Lytechinus pictus: one gene and its partner. The protein of the gene in region 1 interacts with the protein of each later gene in a biochemical or structural test. Links are inferred from orthologs where the notes say so. Each region holds a gene or a part of one and is shown in the gene's direction. Other genes may lie near its edges.

Region 1 (8,600 bases):
TGAAAAAAAAATCCATCATTTGAAGAATTAAAAAGTTATTAGAATTTCAATTCATTGATTTTTTTACGTCATAGGCGAGCACCATTCCTACATAGCGAATGGTAAAAATCAATGAAATGTCATTTTCTCAGAAAATTTGGAATGGTTTTTACTGTACCTTTTTATATCAATAGACAAATCATTTCACACCTGATCATGAATAGAAAACAAAAATGAGTCATCAGGAACCATTTAAAAAGAGAGAGGAAATTTATGCATTTCTATACAATAACATATGGGGCAGCTACTCGGTTATGACATCACAAATCAAAAATTTTAAATTCTAATAACTTTCTTTATAATCTTTTACAGATTTTCCTCAAACCTTCACCAATATATTTTATTATTCTTTTTGTTAGTTTTACGACAAACTTTTCTTCAGGGTGAACTTTCCCTTTAAATCTTCAGATTATTATTACTTATTGAAGAATTCAAGAGTCAGACTCAGCACACTTAAGCATATAGTCTCCAAAGGTCAAACCATCCAAAACTTGCATGAATGATTGTAGAATTTCATTGAAAATATCCTGTCCAAATATTGAATTATTACTGAGTTACTGTCTACTACTATAAAAAAAAAATGGCATTATCGTGGTTTATGTCACCAGTCCATTCACTGCCGTTTATTTCGTCAGCGGGGGTGACATCTTTCCACTCCCATTGACTTTGTACACAACGAGCGCACACACACCGACACACACAAGAAGAGAGGTGACAAATTTCACGATAAGGCCAAAAAAATAAATGAATAGTTTAATACTTGATTCAAGTAATAAAGAAATAAAATGAAAAACATTGACAGACATAATTCAGGTGAGAAGCTATTGTAGGCCCTAGTCAGTTAAATAAAAACTTTGAAATCGCACAAGAATAAAAATTTTCAAGTTATAATATAGATTCACGTATTTGATAAATTCATTTTCTTATCATTTATGGCTTAATTAAATACATGCAATTATATGGCAATGCATTGCAATTGAATTGTCATTGCCTGACTTGACTCGTATAGTCACTTCGCCATGCCCAGGCCATGGCCATTTGAGTGGGGAGTGGGCGTGGCAGCTATGTTACTTGCAGTTGCATCACTCAAGCCCAAGACATCCGAGACATGCATGCATCCCTGTGCATCCCTCCCTCCCAATACTCACTGCGATCAATCGGTTGAGCACCGCCGAGAGAAAGGTTTGAAGTTGTTCACTGCTTTGCGATATTTCCCGCGCTGGCGTTGATCTTCGATGATTCTGTTTCATTGAAACCCATTCTTCTGCTCTTTTCAACCAATATATAACATTATCATTAGAAAGCTTGTCATTTGTTGACATTTCCATATCTGAAAGCGATGGGGTTTGTCAACATTTCCACGTGAAAGATTGTAGTTTTTCGATTTGTATAACATGAAGGGCACCAATGAATTTGTACGTCTACAAAATGTAAATAAAGAAAGGAGCACAGTCTTATCGCAGACCTGTAGGATAGCTTCAAGGAATTATTGCGTGAATATAATACAAACAAGATAGTCTGATCCCCGAGACCATCACTTTAATTTTCTTTAGTGGTACATAAATAATATCGTTGTCCTTAAAGAATAAACTGATTATAATATTACAAATAATTTATTATATTATTTCTGTTTTGCAGCATTTTAATGACAAATATATGAGCAAGTACATATTAAAGCGACTGGAAAGCGAAATAGAAGTCATACCAGCTGAAGTTATCGCTTAATTTTTTTTTCTAATTGTCATGCAGTGGCATAACCACTGAACTGGAAATACGTATTCCCAGTTCAGTGGGCAGAACATACCTTGTTGTGGGCGTAAAGTTTTACCTATAAAACTTGTTTGCCCCTGGCATGTCGATTTGAAGATTTTAATACAGCTCTCGTATAAACACACCCCACGGTTTCCCCACCCACGATGAAGATAATAATAAAAATGAAGATAATAAGAGGGGTTTAAGCATCGGGGAAGGGGGGGGGGGGGGCTCTATAATTTTCAAGTAGTGAAAAAAAGGAAAATTGAAAAATATAGAGAAAAAAAAGAGAATAAATAATAAGTCGTATTTAAAGGGATATCCGGGCTGAAATATTTATATCTAAATAAATAGAGTAAAATTCACAGAGCAAAATGCTGAAAATTTCATCAAATCGGATAACAAATAACAAAGTTATTGAAATTTAAAATTTAGCAATATTTTGTGAAAATAGTATGCACGTCATCCTGAATATTCATTAGGTGGGCTGATGATGTCACTTCGCCCACTCTCCCTTTTCTTATGTTATTACATGAAATCATAATTGTTTCATTTTTTCACACATGTGTAAATGATGTGTCTCCATTATAGCAAAATAGGTTGCAGCAATGTATAATTAATGCACTTAATAATCGTGTCAATCCAAAAAGAACTAATTTAGTTCTTGGTAGAAAATTTTAAAATAAATTACTAGTAACCTTATTTCAAATAATAAATACAAAAGAAGTGCGGATATGACAAACTTCATGAATATTCATAAAGACATGCCTAAAACTGTTTCACCGCGGAATAATGCAAATCTTTAAAATTCAATTTGTTTATTTGTTATCCGATTTTTATTTAATTTTCAGCATTTTGCTCTGTGAATTTTACTCTATTTATTGAGATATGAATATTTTCAGCATGGAGTATGCCTTTACCTTTGTCAGATCTGGATTTTTTTAGCCACATTAATTATCTTTAACTCGCCAAACAAAGTAGAAGATGGTTTGCAGCAGGGGCGTCGGTCCATTTTTCAGATTGGGGGGGGGGGGGCAAAATCATGAATCACTGACGTTCCAAAGGCGCTTGATCACACAAAACAAACAAACTCACCCACACACACATACACAGGCCTATATATAATGTGATGACTACTTGTACCAAACGCTCTTGAGGTGTGAGTATATGAAACATAATGAAATGAGGACAACTCAAAAGATGACGCAGGAAACCATTCTTAGCTTTAGCTTTCGTCTTTATGAAGACTTCGTCAGAAGCAGTCTGTAATTAACTAATTACTAGTACAGACTATTGTGGTAGTAAAGTAGGATGCCTAGATCATTGCCTACCGTGCCGCCTATCGATACTGAAGCCCCCAGCACCCCCCCCCCCCCCACTTCCACGGCCCCTGATTATAAATGTATGTAATTTTGTGTAAGATAAATTAATTTGAAGTATTTTGGTTTGGGAGCACTTGGCACTTGGCAAAATATGCATGACTCACAAATCGTCTTCTCCTCAAATCTCTCTTTTTTTCTCCATAAAATTCATGACTACCGCTCCATGACCTCCATCCAATTTGATGCTAAATCTCTAACTTACAGGATTTGGATTGTTCTATTGGTTCTGGGAATCTCCAAAACAGTAGAGGGATCACCTAAGAGAGAGGTGTCTATCTTGTAATGACAGTGCCCCATCTTGGATTTTATCTTTTTCTTCAGATCATCAGATGGGCAAGAAAATCACACCAATTCCGATTATTTCCGGAAATTACCGACCGAAATGCGCTGCATGCTATGTATGCTGCGCTTCTTCAGTTTTCCGAAATTCACTGAACAAAAGGCTTGTTGCGGAGTATTGTGTGCGATAAAAGTGGGTCGCCGAAAGCTAAAAGTCGATTTTAATCGGTAAGAGAGTTTGTTCATATCTAAATCACCTGATAAATACCTATGTTTATTCTTGAATTCAAATTAAGACATGTTGTGGATGTACTGTACAAGGATCTTTCGTGGTGCTTGTTCGAAAATGGTCCAGGCCAAGCAAGAGTCGTGTAATTTTGTATGACGAGGAACCGATCGAGAGCTTGGCTTGGCTTGTGCATTGGCAAATTGTGTGTGATTGAATGACATGATTTTGTGAATTACAAAGAAGGCTACACAGTGTTATTGTTAGACTTGTGAAAAAAATATAAAGAATTGGGAGGGTGAACGAAAGAATGAAGGAGAGAATGAAAAGATGAAAGAAAAGAGATGAAATGGCTTGAAAAGAAAGGAAGAAAAAATGAAGGAAAAACTTAAAAAAGAATAAAACAAAGTTAGAATAAAGAAGGATGAAACTAAGAAAGAATAAGAGAGAAATAAGGTTTCCGTCATACTTTGAATTGAATATGGAAAGAAAGAAAAAGAAAGGAAGGGAAGATGAATAGTTAAATGTGAAAGAAGGAGAGAAAAAAGTAAGAAAAATGGAGGAAGAAAGAAAGAAAAATGGAGGAAGAAAGAAAGAATGAAGGAAAGAAAAATGTTTCCTTCATTTGAAAGAAAAAAATAAAGAAAGAAGAAAACAGGAATGAAGGGAGGGAAAGAAAGAAAGAATTAGAAGGAAAAATAGAATAAAGAATGAAAGAAAGGAGGAAAAAGAGGGAGGAGAGAATGAAAAAAAGAAAATAATGGAAGGAGAGAAAGAACGAAAAGAAAAAAGGAGAAGGGAGAAGGAAGCAAAGAAAAGTTTAAGGAAAGAAAGAATAGAGGAAATAAAAGAAATTAAAGAAGGCAGGTAAGAGAAAAAAAGGAAAGAAAGAAAAATGAACAGAGAGAGAAAGGATCAGAAAAGAAAGATAGGAAATTAAAGATAGATGGAACAAAAAAGGGTAAGCAGGAAGGATAGAAGGATGAAAAAAGAAGGATAGGAAAGAAAGAGGAAAAAGTTCAAACTTCAAGTGAACAAAAACAATCCAATCATCTAACAAAAATCATAATGATATTTGGTTTTTTTTTTTAACATATTTTTAAAATTTTAGAAAACTAAAATGTTTTAGAAATGAATAAAATTTCAAAGTGAAACATTGTCAACTTAAAAATTAGATGAAACATCGCCGCATCATACATGTACGCAACAAGACTCAAAACAAAAGCTGAAACAGCTGGATCTAGTTATGAAAACTCAATAGCTTGTTCCCTCCGATTACATATCCAAATCAGCAATCTGAGAATCCATAATATAATTATACAAATTTCCCGCTGATTTTGTGATTATTTTGGTGGAAAACTGTTTATCATGTCATTGTTTGCACCATTGAGAATCTGCTCCGATCCTACATGCCTAGCTAGTAGCCAGCCACACACAGGCAGGAGGCCAGTTCGTTTGTGCATGTATTGGGTTAGCAAGAAAATCACCGCAGAACTTGCAAAAGTTTAGTTATCGATTTTATTGTCGTCTCTGCTTCGTCATCTGTTTGATGAAATGTTATTATTATTAAATGTATTAACTATATTTTGTTCAATATTCTGAAGTACGGGACAAATAGGCGTCCGGGGAAGGGTTTGCCGGGACAAAGGAGCAAAATATGGGATGTTCCCGGGAAATACAGGACGTCTGGTCACCCTAGTTGTGTGTAAATTTTCAGTTTTAGCCCGGTGCATTATGAATTGTGGCATGGTACGCTAGTTTGGCAGACATAATTAACAGGCAAAATTGGTACATGTATGGCAAGTTCCCCTATAAAGTATGCGCAGTCCCCTTTGTCTGTTCATACGCGTATCTGCACGATTCTAGTAAAAGAAGATACGCAACGAACACACACATCTAATGCATAGACAGAAATTATTTTACAAAACCAGACTCACAATGGTGGAAAAATAATGAAATTTGAGCATTTCTTGCGACGGCCTCAAAATGCAGCCTTTCTCATCAAATCCCAGAATCGCGTGCAAAGTGATTGGTGCGCAGACATGGGGCACCATTTTTTGTTCAATCTGAAAATTACTGCCCCAGTTTTTTTTTCTAAGAAAATCATATATTTCTTTCAAATTTTTATGAGATATTTGGCACACTAAATCATAATGATGTGAGGAACATTATTAATTGAAAGATTTTGTGAAATAAAAAGAAATTCATGTTAAATCTTAACTCAAATCGTTAGGTGCCCAGACTTGGGGACCACCATCATATTTAGGTCTAACATTAAATAAATGTTATAAATGGGCATTAAAAATGATGCCCAGCAGCTACCTCAAGTATAGTAGAGTGTTTTGTCAAGATTTTTTTTTTTTAGGTCTAAATGACATTATATTATCTTGAACGATGGTCCACTATTTTCTTTAGACTCTAATCTTTCTTTTGATACAATGCATTTTCAAATAAAATTTCAAAAATATATGTTACCGATGATTTGTTCCTTATTTTTTGAATTTTTCTGCCGGAGAGGAAAAACTGGCAGCCATTTGTTGCTGCCCTGACATACGTTCGTTGAGTTAGGCTTTCATGAAGGCTTTCCCATTAGAATTATCGATATCCTGGCCAATCTATGCGAGCGACAAGTTCCGAACGCACGCATGCGCATTTGCATGATCAGATCTTGATCTATAGTCCTACTCATGAATATTCATGAATTGAGCTGTGATTTCTGCGCATGCACAATTTGCGTTTGAGATGTTGGAATCGGCAGTGAATTAATATGTGTGAGGAAACCGATACTGGCTCTAAATCACCAATTTGAAACTGATAGAAGCATGAAAAAGAAATGAAACTTTGTGAAATGTACCGTGGTACATGTAAGATGAGTTGTTATAAATGAATTGTAAGGTCATTTTGTTGCATGAGTTTGATATTCCCCCCATAAAGTGACACCTTAGCAGAGCGAGTTTTGTATATGTACCTTGATATTCGGGTAGGTGTAGCGTAGCCGTAGTGTAGCGGTAGTGAAGTGGAGTGGAGCTTACACAAACATCACTTGAGGTAGCAATTGTCATGTAAAAGTTTTGTTTTTTAATTAATTCTGTGTGAATATTGATGGTATTATTTGGTGCCAGTTGCAAGTGAGTGATTTGAATTTTGAATTGGATGAAAAATTTATAATCAAGAAACAAATATATTAATCTAACATGAGATCTAGTTACAACCAATAAAATTTGATGAAAAAGAAGTATCAAGATCATGAAGATTGATATATTTGATTCCACTTGCTCAAGCGCAAGTTTAAACATGGCCTAAAAATCCTGCACAAATTTACTTTGACAACGCTTTTTGTAAATGTTTTATGCTATGGGCCCTTACATGTACCATGCAGTACAACATTCAGTAAACAAATACCTAATTCGCTCAATTTTTCACACTGGCAAAACATATTAATTAAGACATTTAGAAAAATGAATTAATAATGAAAAAAAAATCATCATGTAAAGTATTGGGGGGGGGGGGCCATGTCTTCCCCCTAAAAATTTACATGTAACTTAAAACTAAACCTGAATTTTTTTTTCCAGTTGATAATGTTCCTTTATATTCTTATGAGTAAGTGCAAAAAATCTCATAAAAATTTGGGAGAAATATACAATTTTCTTCAAAAGAACCTCATCCAGTCATTTTCAGATTGAACGAAATGGTGGTAGTCGTGGTACCCCATGTCCGCGCACCCATTCACTTTACGCATGTACGATTCTGGGATTTTGATGTGAAAGGCTGAAATGCCTGAAATTCAGAATTTTTCACCATTTTGAGTCAGATTTTTTAATGAATATCTGTGTATGCATTGCAAGTGTAAATTTTGTGGTCAGTGCGTATCTTTTTTTTACTAGAATCGTGCAGATACGTGCGTGTGCAGACAAGGGGGACTGCACAGACTTAGGGGACCTTGCCATGCATGTATAGGACACTTACCGGTAAACATTATTGGACCCCCCCCAAAATAAAATCATTAAATCAAGTAAAACTTAAAAGTCTATTATTTTAGTTAAAATTTTGAATATCAATGTCATAAAAAAGATTACAAAAAATATATAGTATTAGTAAATGAAAAGTATTTACTTACTACCAGAAGCTTGTTTTTTTCCCCAAATATCGGACTATAAAGTTTTGCACTATGATCAAACTCGGCTATTTAAATCGCGCTCTAAACCCCAAAATAATTGCTTGGTTGGTGAGAATCTGTTGTGCAAATCCCGATTTTGATTATTACTATCAATAATTTTGATATGTTTTTTTCAACATCACTTTTTTTCCTTTTCTTGCACTCAAATCTTTGGAAATACTATAATTTTTTATCTGCATTTTTACAGTGATCAAGACTGCTACAAAGAGAACACTAATGAGCCAAGTGTTAATCTCAATTTGGACTGTAGGCCTAAATGTTTCTGTACTTCCAGTTTCCAATGACGCTTATGCCATTAAATATGGGTATAAATTGAAGACACAACCTTTATTGTTTATCAAACTTTTACATAGGAAACCCCACGTAAACCTTTGTTCAGATTTGTAATTCATTAATACCGTTTCATTACCCATCGTTTAGGCTGAGCAATGGCTGATGACCCAATGCCTGCACCAAACCAGATACAAGACAACAGTATGAGTTCTGACATGAATCACCCAGGAACAGGACCTAGTGGTCCATCAGGAACAGGACCAGTGCAGGGCTATGATCAAGGAGGAACAGGTAAAGACTGTTTTACTGATTTCTATCCATTTTTTTTACATCAGGATTACTACATATAAATTAAAGCTTTGGTTTGTGACAGACAACAAAGTTTCATTTTGAAGTTGTAGGTTAAGTTCAGGGTTACAATACATTACATACATTTGTGCATTTATGGTTAATATTGTCAATTTGGTTTTAA
Region 2 (8,600 bases), on another chromosome or scaffold:
CTCAAAAATTTCATTACATCCGATTTAGATGATGTTCAGTGTTGATTTTTATTTGTTGGAGTGGACTTCCCTTAACGAAATGTACAACCTCGTTTTGTAATTACGACTATCAATTTATGCAGAAATAAAAACAAATAAACAAACCGTGAAAATTAATATACGGTCCGCTTGCGGAAAAGAAGAAATACACAAATGAGTGGAGAGATGAAAAAAGTATAGGAATTAGATGAACTCTTTCTGTCAATAGGCCCTATTTGAAATAGTCCTTTTTAGCGAGTAAATAAATGTCCATTGGAAGAAAAAATAAGGCTCATACTTAAAGTGGAGACAAGTGCAAAAATAAAATACAAGTCTTCAGAAAATAAAAGGGAGAAAATATTACTTCTCATTTCGATTATATAACCAGTCATGTTTGTCATTTCGTCTTCCATTAGTAAATTATCACCATGAATTTTAACTTCCTCCACTAAAGAAAGTAGGCCCTATCTTGATTTCACCATTCATTTCAAATTTTATTGCTGTTTTTTATCTTTTGGCTTCGTGCATGGCTTGCTGATCCTCCCTATATTTCACAACTATTTTAGATTTCGTACTTAAAGGGATGGTCTGGGCTGAAAGTGGTTATAACTTAATAAATAGAGTAGAAGATCACTTAGCAAAATGCCGAAAATTTCATCAAAATCGGATAACAAATAACAAAGTTATTGAATTTTAAAGTTTAGCAATATTTTGTGAAAACAGTCGTCATGAATATTCATTAGGTGGGCTGATGATGTCACATCCCAACTTGTTCTTTTGTATTTTATTATATGAAATTAGGTTTATTCAATTTTTTTCCTCCAAGAACTAGAAAAATTGGATTGACAACTGACTTAGTGCATAAAATATTTATTGATGAAACTTATTTCATTATAAGGAGAAGTTATTCACACAAGTATGAAATAATGAAAAAATTATGATTTTATGTAATAACATAAGAAAGTGGGACATCATCGGCCCACCTAATGAATATTCATGACGACTATTTTCACAAAATATTGGTAAACTTTAAACTTCAATAACTTTATTATTTGTGATCCGTTTTTGATGGAATTTTCGGCATTTTGCTCAGTGAATTCTACTCTATGTATTAAGATATAAATATTTCAGCCCGGGCCATCCCTTTTATAAGTCCCCCGGATAAGTTAATTCATAATTCATATCACTTTGCCTTGGCTAAACATCCTTGTATGAATCTTCTCGAACATCTGAATATAGGCCTACTGGCCCCTGCTGGAGTTTGATATGAGCATGGACCTATAGGTCCATGATATGAGAGCCTTCACTATATAGACATAATGGTCTCTATGCTGGCTCTCACAATTGCGCCGTGTTCCGTACGTGTGTTTATTTTTATGTACAACTGAGTTTCAATTTTTGTAAAGGGGGTTATAGTTTATGTTTTAATGAGAATTTGAATATACTAGATTACTAGTGCTAGAGGCTTGGCACATTGGGGAACATAACCTGACCAGAGACGGATCCAGCCTTCGCCAATAGGGGGGGGGGCCGGATTTTTTCCAGCAATATTTTCCCCGATCGGCCGCTCGAAGATGATTTTTGCCGGGATTTTTTTGTTTCTTTGAAGGGGTAGTCCTAATAGTCACTTCTTAGCTTTATTCTTATGAATAAACATAAATATATAATACCATAATCCTTATTTATACAATGCGAGCGCGAAGCGCGAGCTATTTTTTGGGGGAAATATTGTGGGTTTTTTTTCTAAGTTCTTGAACATTCTGGGCAATGTTTGTTATCCTGAAAAAGATGTGTATGCAAATGAAAAATTACTACGACCGTGAAGCGCGAGCAGAAACGAACTGATGGAAAAGGTATTGTTAAATATTGCAGTTAGCCATGAAGACGCTACATATTTTAAAAATCAAATAATGCGAGCGCGAAGCGCAAGCTGAAATTTTATGACAAATTTACCTAAGAAATGGAAGCACTTTTTGTAACTTAAACAGAATAGGTATATAAGTAAACAATAATGATGCGAACGCGAAGCGCGAGCGGAAAAATTCGAGATTTAAACCTACTGAACATGACACTCTATTCAGGTTTTGTAAATCATGAAAAGGATGCAAGTGGGGATCTTCCTTACATTAATAATGCGAGCGCAGAGCGCGAGCAGAATTTTTTTATATACGTTTTGAACAGATCGAAAATGTACCTGTTAAGGACTGCTTGCACTTAGGCATGAAGACGTTACATATTTCAACAATCAAATAATGCGAGAGCGAAGCGCGAGCTGAAAATTTTTTACTTTTCTACATAAAGAATGTAACATTTTAATCAATTTTTGTAATCGTGAACAGGATTATAATTAAACAATTGATGTGAACGCGAAGCGCGTGCGGAAAAATCGAGATTTAGACCTACAAACGGGACACTATTCATGTTTTGTAAATCATGAAAGAATGAGTAGGGGTCTACCTACATTAATAATGCGAGCACAAAGCGTGAGCAGAAAATTTTTGATATTTACGGTGATCTGAAACTGGATAATGATTTAAATAGAGAACAAGTTGACTATCTGAATACGCGCGCGTGTTTCATATTTAGATATTGAATCTAGGCATTCTTAATACATCTTTTATTATGAAAATCAAAGCGAGCGCGAAGCGCGAGTTTAAACTATTTAATATTCCGATCTGAAAAAACAGTCAATTTCAGCTCTATATTTCAAGCACTTTGTAGGAAAATTGTGAGGTGGATATGGATCGCACTTAATAAAGAGCTGATATTTTAATTATTATTACTTTGAGTTTTAACATAGGACCGGGACATCCTTAGGAAATGCATATCAAAATGATAACTGTCTTCCTATTCCTCTTGCTAAGTGCGAGATGAAACAAAATGGACAATTTAATCATTAAATTAATGTCTTATTCATTAACGCCTGAGGACGCAAAATCTGATGATATTATGGCCTGAAAACTGGACATTTCAAGCACTTGTGTAATTATAAATAAGATGCATCAAGTTAATATATTTTAACCATTAATGCGAGCACAAATCGCGAGCCAAAGTTTTTGATGAACTGTCATGAAAAGGGGATTTAAAGTATAGTTTGTTGTATAATCAATATTGCGACATATACATAACTCGCCGATCAAAATGCGAGCGTGCAGCGCTAGCTGATACGTTTTGACTTTCAGACCTGAAAAGAATATTTTGAAAATTTAATGGAATACACAAAAATAATAGGTACCTGATAAATCAAAATTTGCGAGCGCGCAGCACGAGCAGAAAATGTTAATATTTTAGACCATAAAACTGACATCTTTACAAAGCACTTTTTAAAAACAATTTGTAAATCACACAAAATAATGAAAGTTCGATTTCCGAGGTGAAATATGTTTTGTATATTGACTTCCAAACTTGATTTTTAAACTTCATATTGAACAAGATATGAAAATCACCTAACAGGCAATGCGAGCGCGAAGCGCGAGCGAAATTTTTATACCATGAGTGACATGAAAGCTTTTTCCAATTAAGTCTTCCCCTCATCTTATTTTATCAACTCATCTTAATCCTCTTCTTTTTCTCCTCTTTTCCCTCCTTTTCCCCCTGTTTTTTCTTTCTTTCCTTTTTTTTTGCTCCGCCAATAGGGGGGGGGCCGGGCCCCTTGGGCCCCCCCCCCCCCCCTGGATCCGCCTATGCTGACAATTGTCTTTTCAGTAGGCCGATCTCGGGGCCGATCTGCTCCACATTTTTCTTGCTATAGGCCTACCGAGTTCCTCAACTTTTATGAAGATCTACATTGAAGATTTGTCATGTTTGAATGTAATAAATTTTTCTCTGTTACAATTAAGAATAAGGCTATCCTTTGTTATTTTACTTTTTTGATTTACTGGCATGCGAGCAGCAATCATTTTAAAATACCTGTTAGTAATAAAATTGGCAACGCAAAACTTGACCACCAGCTCCATGCCGCTCAAAAATGAACGACAGTTTCGTTCAATTATTGCGGGTGTACAAAAGACGAGAAAGACAAAAGATGGCTATCCGAAAGAAGGACGGTGGTGCTGATTTCAAGTTTTTTGAGTCCGCTGACATTGCTTCCCAGCTTGATAATGTGAAATCATGGCTTCAAAGAAATTGCAAGAGGGTGAGTATTGTTTAGGGGCCAGAAATTGTCATATTACAGTCAATATAATGCTCGATCAAACTACCGTACCTTTTCCGAGTCTGAGATAATTCGTGTGCGGCTGCGAATTCTACTTGCTTCGCCGCGCCGCGGCCATGGCGGCAGCGCCCCGGAGCCAAGGCCTGTGCCTGGGCTTGCCTGGAGCCCTAGTAAGGCTAAGCTGAACCCGAGACCGAGTCTTTATTTTATGGCGAGTTTTCCAACATAGCTGACATTTGCGGTCATTTTCAGCTAAATGTATCAAGAGGAATTGTAATTCATTCTCTCATCTATTCCTATGTTGTGTCTCTGTCTTTTATTTAATGTGAAAAATATAGTTAGATTCCGCAGTTCAAATTCAACACAAAGACAAAGTCACAAGTCAGTGATTCAATTTCAAACAATCAAAATTGAATCAGCAAAAAAAGATATTGTTAATTTTCTGTTAACAGGCTAGAATAGATCTGACATTGATAAAAAAAAAAAAGGGAATTTGTTGGCAGCTGTGTGCACAAGAAGATGTAGACAGGAATAACCGTCGTTTCTGGGGATTTATTCAACAATTTCTGACATTTTACTGTAATCCCCATTTACCGACGGTAGGGTGTACGTGTGGGCTCGCATGTGTTCTCATTCCCTCCCTTTTGTCAATTCACAGTCCAAAGTTTGATGTAATTTTACACATCGAATTTACAATCTAAGGATGTATAAACAACAAACTTTTAAAAGTTGATATTTAAATGTTTAAATACTTTAAACGATATAGATGAAAAAGGCATGAAAAATATACTTTACCGATGTTTAATTGGGTTGAACACGATAAAAATGGTCAAAATGGCAGCCACACTATAAAATATTTACAAACGAACGTCAACAATCACGAATGTGATATCGATATTGCTTTCGATATTATACGATCTGCTCCATATGCGAACGAAACCGAAGATAAACGATACTACTTATACTAGTACTAGTACTAGTTATAATCGCGATATATCGATTCGAGACATTAAGTTAATAACGATAATGACGTCATTCAAGATGGCAACTTGCAAGAAAAACCGTCAGGTCAGGTGAAAATGTCTTAGATGACAGATTTCTCAATCATCCAGAGGATTTTTTTCAATAACTCCGGCCCAAGGTATGCAATTACTTAAGTTTTTTATATTTCCCTGATAATGGAAACCATGAAACTTTCAATTTTGCTTAAAAAACAGTTTTAAATCGCGATCTATAAAACGCTAGTTCACTATACGTTGGCTGTAGGTACGGGGCCCCATCCCCTTCAGTCTATGTATGGTGAGTGGAGCCAACGTAGTTCAGCGGAACAACCAAAATACAGAGACTGAAGCTTTTGGTCTAAAGAAGATGTTGACATATTATTTGGATGGAGCGAATGTAATAATAGTACTTGAGTAGTACTAGTATACTTGTCAGTTGTCGGCAGAAATGAATGAAGATTTTGAGATGGAAACATGATTGATAATAAAATTTAGGGTGTAACATGGTCTTCGAAAAGACAGAGTGCCCTGGAATAATATGTAATAATAGACATAATAATGGTAGTTACAGTGTTCTGTTTTTTTTAATGATCTTTTCTGTTTCTGAAAATTTGTAATTCCGTTTCAAACTTAACAGTAGAGGCGCACGGCCAATATGGGAGACTCTATCCAATAGGGGAGACAATCTCCCATATTGGAAACTTGCTTTACAAAAGAACAAAAGAAACAACACCAACAAAAGCATATTTTTTTCCATCAAAAATTTTGTCTCGCTGAGGTCAGAAGCCCATTTGTTTTGTGTGTTGATGACAACAAAAATCCTTATCAAAACAAAAGTAGATGGTGAATTTTTAAAGTAGACGGTGAAAAGGGGTAATTTTTCATGAGGAATCTGCTTATCACATTTTTATTTGCCGCCAAGGTAATCCTTTTGCAGCAAATGTAAACAAAGGAAATTGGTCTCCCAAACTGGAGACTGTCTCTGAAATTGGATACCCAAATTCTTTACAAAAGTCTCTGATATTGGAGATAATCTCTCTCATGGGAGACAGTCTTCCATATTGGCCGTGCACTTCTACTGCTTAATGAACAGATGAGTTAATCTCTAAGGGAAATTCTGTTTCATTATACTGTAGAAAACATGCAAAGCATTTTGTAGCCAAGGTACATTGTGTAAATATATTGAATTTTCTCATGACAAATAAAGAACCAAGACAAATTTTCCATTTTTATTTACCAGTAAATAGAAAATCACATTCCTTATATTTAGTCTCAAAAGATTCATAAAGATCGGCAAACAGTTTTGAGGTGGAAACATAATCATATCAATATGATGTATAATATTTTATGTGTACATGCTTGTTCCCGGAGCATACTGTCAGTAGAGGCGCACGGCCAATGCCGGGAGACTCTCCAATATGGGAGACTTGCTTTGTAAAAGAACAAAAGAAACGACACCAACAAAAGCGTAATTTTTTCCACCCAGAATTTTGTCTCACTGAGGTCAGAAGCCCATTTGTTTTGTGTGTGGATGACAACAAAAATCCTTATCAAAACAAAAGTAGACGGTGAATTTTTAAAGTAGACGGTGAAAATGGGTAATTTTTCATGAGGAATCTGCTTATCACATTTTTATTTAGAGAATCTCTCTCATAGGAGACAGTCTCCTATATTGGCCGTGCGCCTCTACTGACTGTGTTGTATGATATGTTATCAAATAATCTCAAAATTGATAAAGATTCATGACATATCTGTTTTTTGAATGGAAAGATAATCTTGTAAATGAAACAGCTTTAATAGGAGAAAATTATAATTTGTTTACAAATTTGTAAACAAAAAAGATAATCTTATTGATATAATTCATGATATGTTATCACATTACAGTTATTACTGTATACATTACTTTGTGGAGCACCCTAACCCACAGTGCTCTGGCCCGCTTTGCGGGCCGGAGTCCAGAAGGTAACCATAGGCTGCCACAGGTAACAAATACTAACATGGGTATCATCGAGGTTGGGGTACCAAAAACACCCAAAATAAAAAAAAATCATGCACCCACCTCAATTTTATGGATGAAGGTCTAACAGACAGCAGAATCCTTACAACAAGGCAGTAGCCAGACCCTCGAAAAGGGGGGAAAAGGCAGGCCAATTCGCGCATGCGCCCTCGGTATATCGATCAGCCAGGTTTGTTTGCAATTTTGAAAGCGAGTGAAAGAACACTGCCTTTTCCCCCCTTTTTCGAGGGTAAGGTTACTGCCTTGATGTTAGGATTCTGCTGTCCATTAGACCTCCATCCTTAGAATTGATGTGGGTGCATGATTTTTTTTTCTGTAATTTTTGGTGTTTTGGGCACACCAACCTCAAAGGTACCCATGTTAGCATTTGTTACCAGTGGCAGCCTATGGTTACCTTCTGGGCTCCGGCCCACTTCGAGCCGTCCGGGGTAGGAGCACCCTGGCTTGATAATTATAATTATAATACAAATAATGTCGCATCTAGTTTCTTCAACGGAGTAAATGCTATTATCAATTTATTACTGAAAGAATTACTAGCCAACAAGAGCTGGATTCAAACCAATGCAATTACATGTATATCAGTACAACGTAGAGCTCTGACCTGACAATTTAATACTAGACCACAAGCATAAGATGGCAGGTATAATTTATGATGTTGTTGATGTTTCTTTTATCCTTTTCCAGAGCAAGTCTCCAATATTAGAGATTTGTCTCGCATAATGGAGATAGTCTTTCATTCATTTTGCTCCTCTAGTGTCTAAGGCTTTGTCCTTTTTGTCTATAGAAATTCCATAGATCTACCTCTCTCTCTCTCTATTTTTTCAATATTTTAAGTGGGATTCGTGTCAATTCAAGGATTGCTTCAAACTTGGCATATAAACTAATATGTAGCCATCATCTCTTGATTCCTTTAGGGGCCGAATCATTTAGAAATTACTTGTTCATACAATGTAAGTGTACAAACTTCTAAATGTAAGTGGAAAGTACCTGGTCGTCGGTTTGAAATAGAGGATCTTCCTGTCTTCTAGGATTTTGTTTGTTAAAAGGATTTCTCTGGATAAAAAAAATAAAGGAAAATTCCTTCAGCTGTCAAATGTCAACCCTAACCTAGCGTGCTAGTTTAATAATGTGTTAATATTGGGTTTCATTACAAGTCTATGTGAAGATGGCAAATCTTGAAAAAGAGATTTTGAACTGCATGTAGGGGTACTTTATGATAGACAATCTGTTTTTAGCACAACATACTTGCAATGTAAAAGTGTTATCAAGAAACTTCAGGGTGAGGTGGAAATGTTTTATGTTTTAATGTATTTTTTGTCTTCCAGTGGATCCAGGCTGAGCCTCCCACCAATAAGAGCATTGCAAGTATGCTCGCTCAGCTTATACAGTTCCAGGAAGATGCCTTTGGGAG

Evidence for each region.
Region 2: the proteins of probable global transcription activator SNF2L2 (region 1) and SWI/SNF complex subunit SMARCC2-like form a complex in vitro, tested with the Drosophila melanogaster proteins (2 studies listed by BioGRID, with this or other methods). The link is inferred for Lytechinus pictus from reciprocal best matches to the Drosophila melanogaster genes brm and mor.

The regions. Positions count from the first base shown.
Region 1 is NC_087255.1:22,750,887-22,759,486, forward strand, and holds the start of probable global transcription activator SNF2L2, read left to right. Parts: upstream 1-3,588; 5' UTR 3,589-3,680; intron 3,681-8,275; 5' UTR 8,276-8,283; coding exon 8,284-8,419; intron 8,420-8,600. Other genes in the region: Fanconi anemia group C protein-like, read right to left, coding at 1,188-1,367. UniProt on the Drosophila melanogaster protein: Transcriptional regulator. Acts as a coactivator, assisting one or more dedicated transcriptional activators of ANTC and BXC homeotic gene clusters. Can counteract the repressive effect of Polycomb protein.
Region 2 is NC_087247.1:25,343,414-25,352,013, reverse strand, and holds the start of SWI/SNF complex subunit SMARCC2-like, read left to right. Parts: upstream 1-3,932; 5' UTR 3,933-3,985; coding exon 3,986-4,153; intron 4,154-8,514; coding exon 8,515-8,600.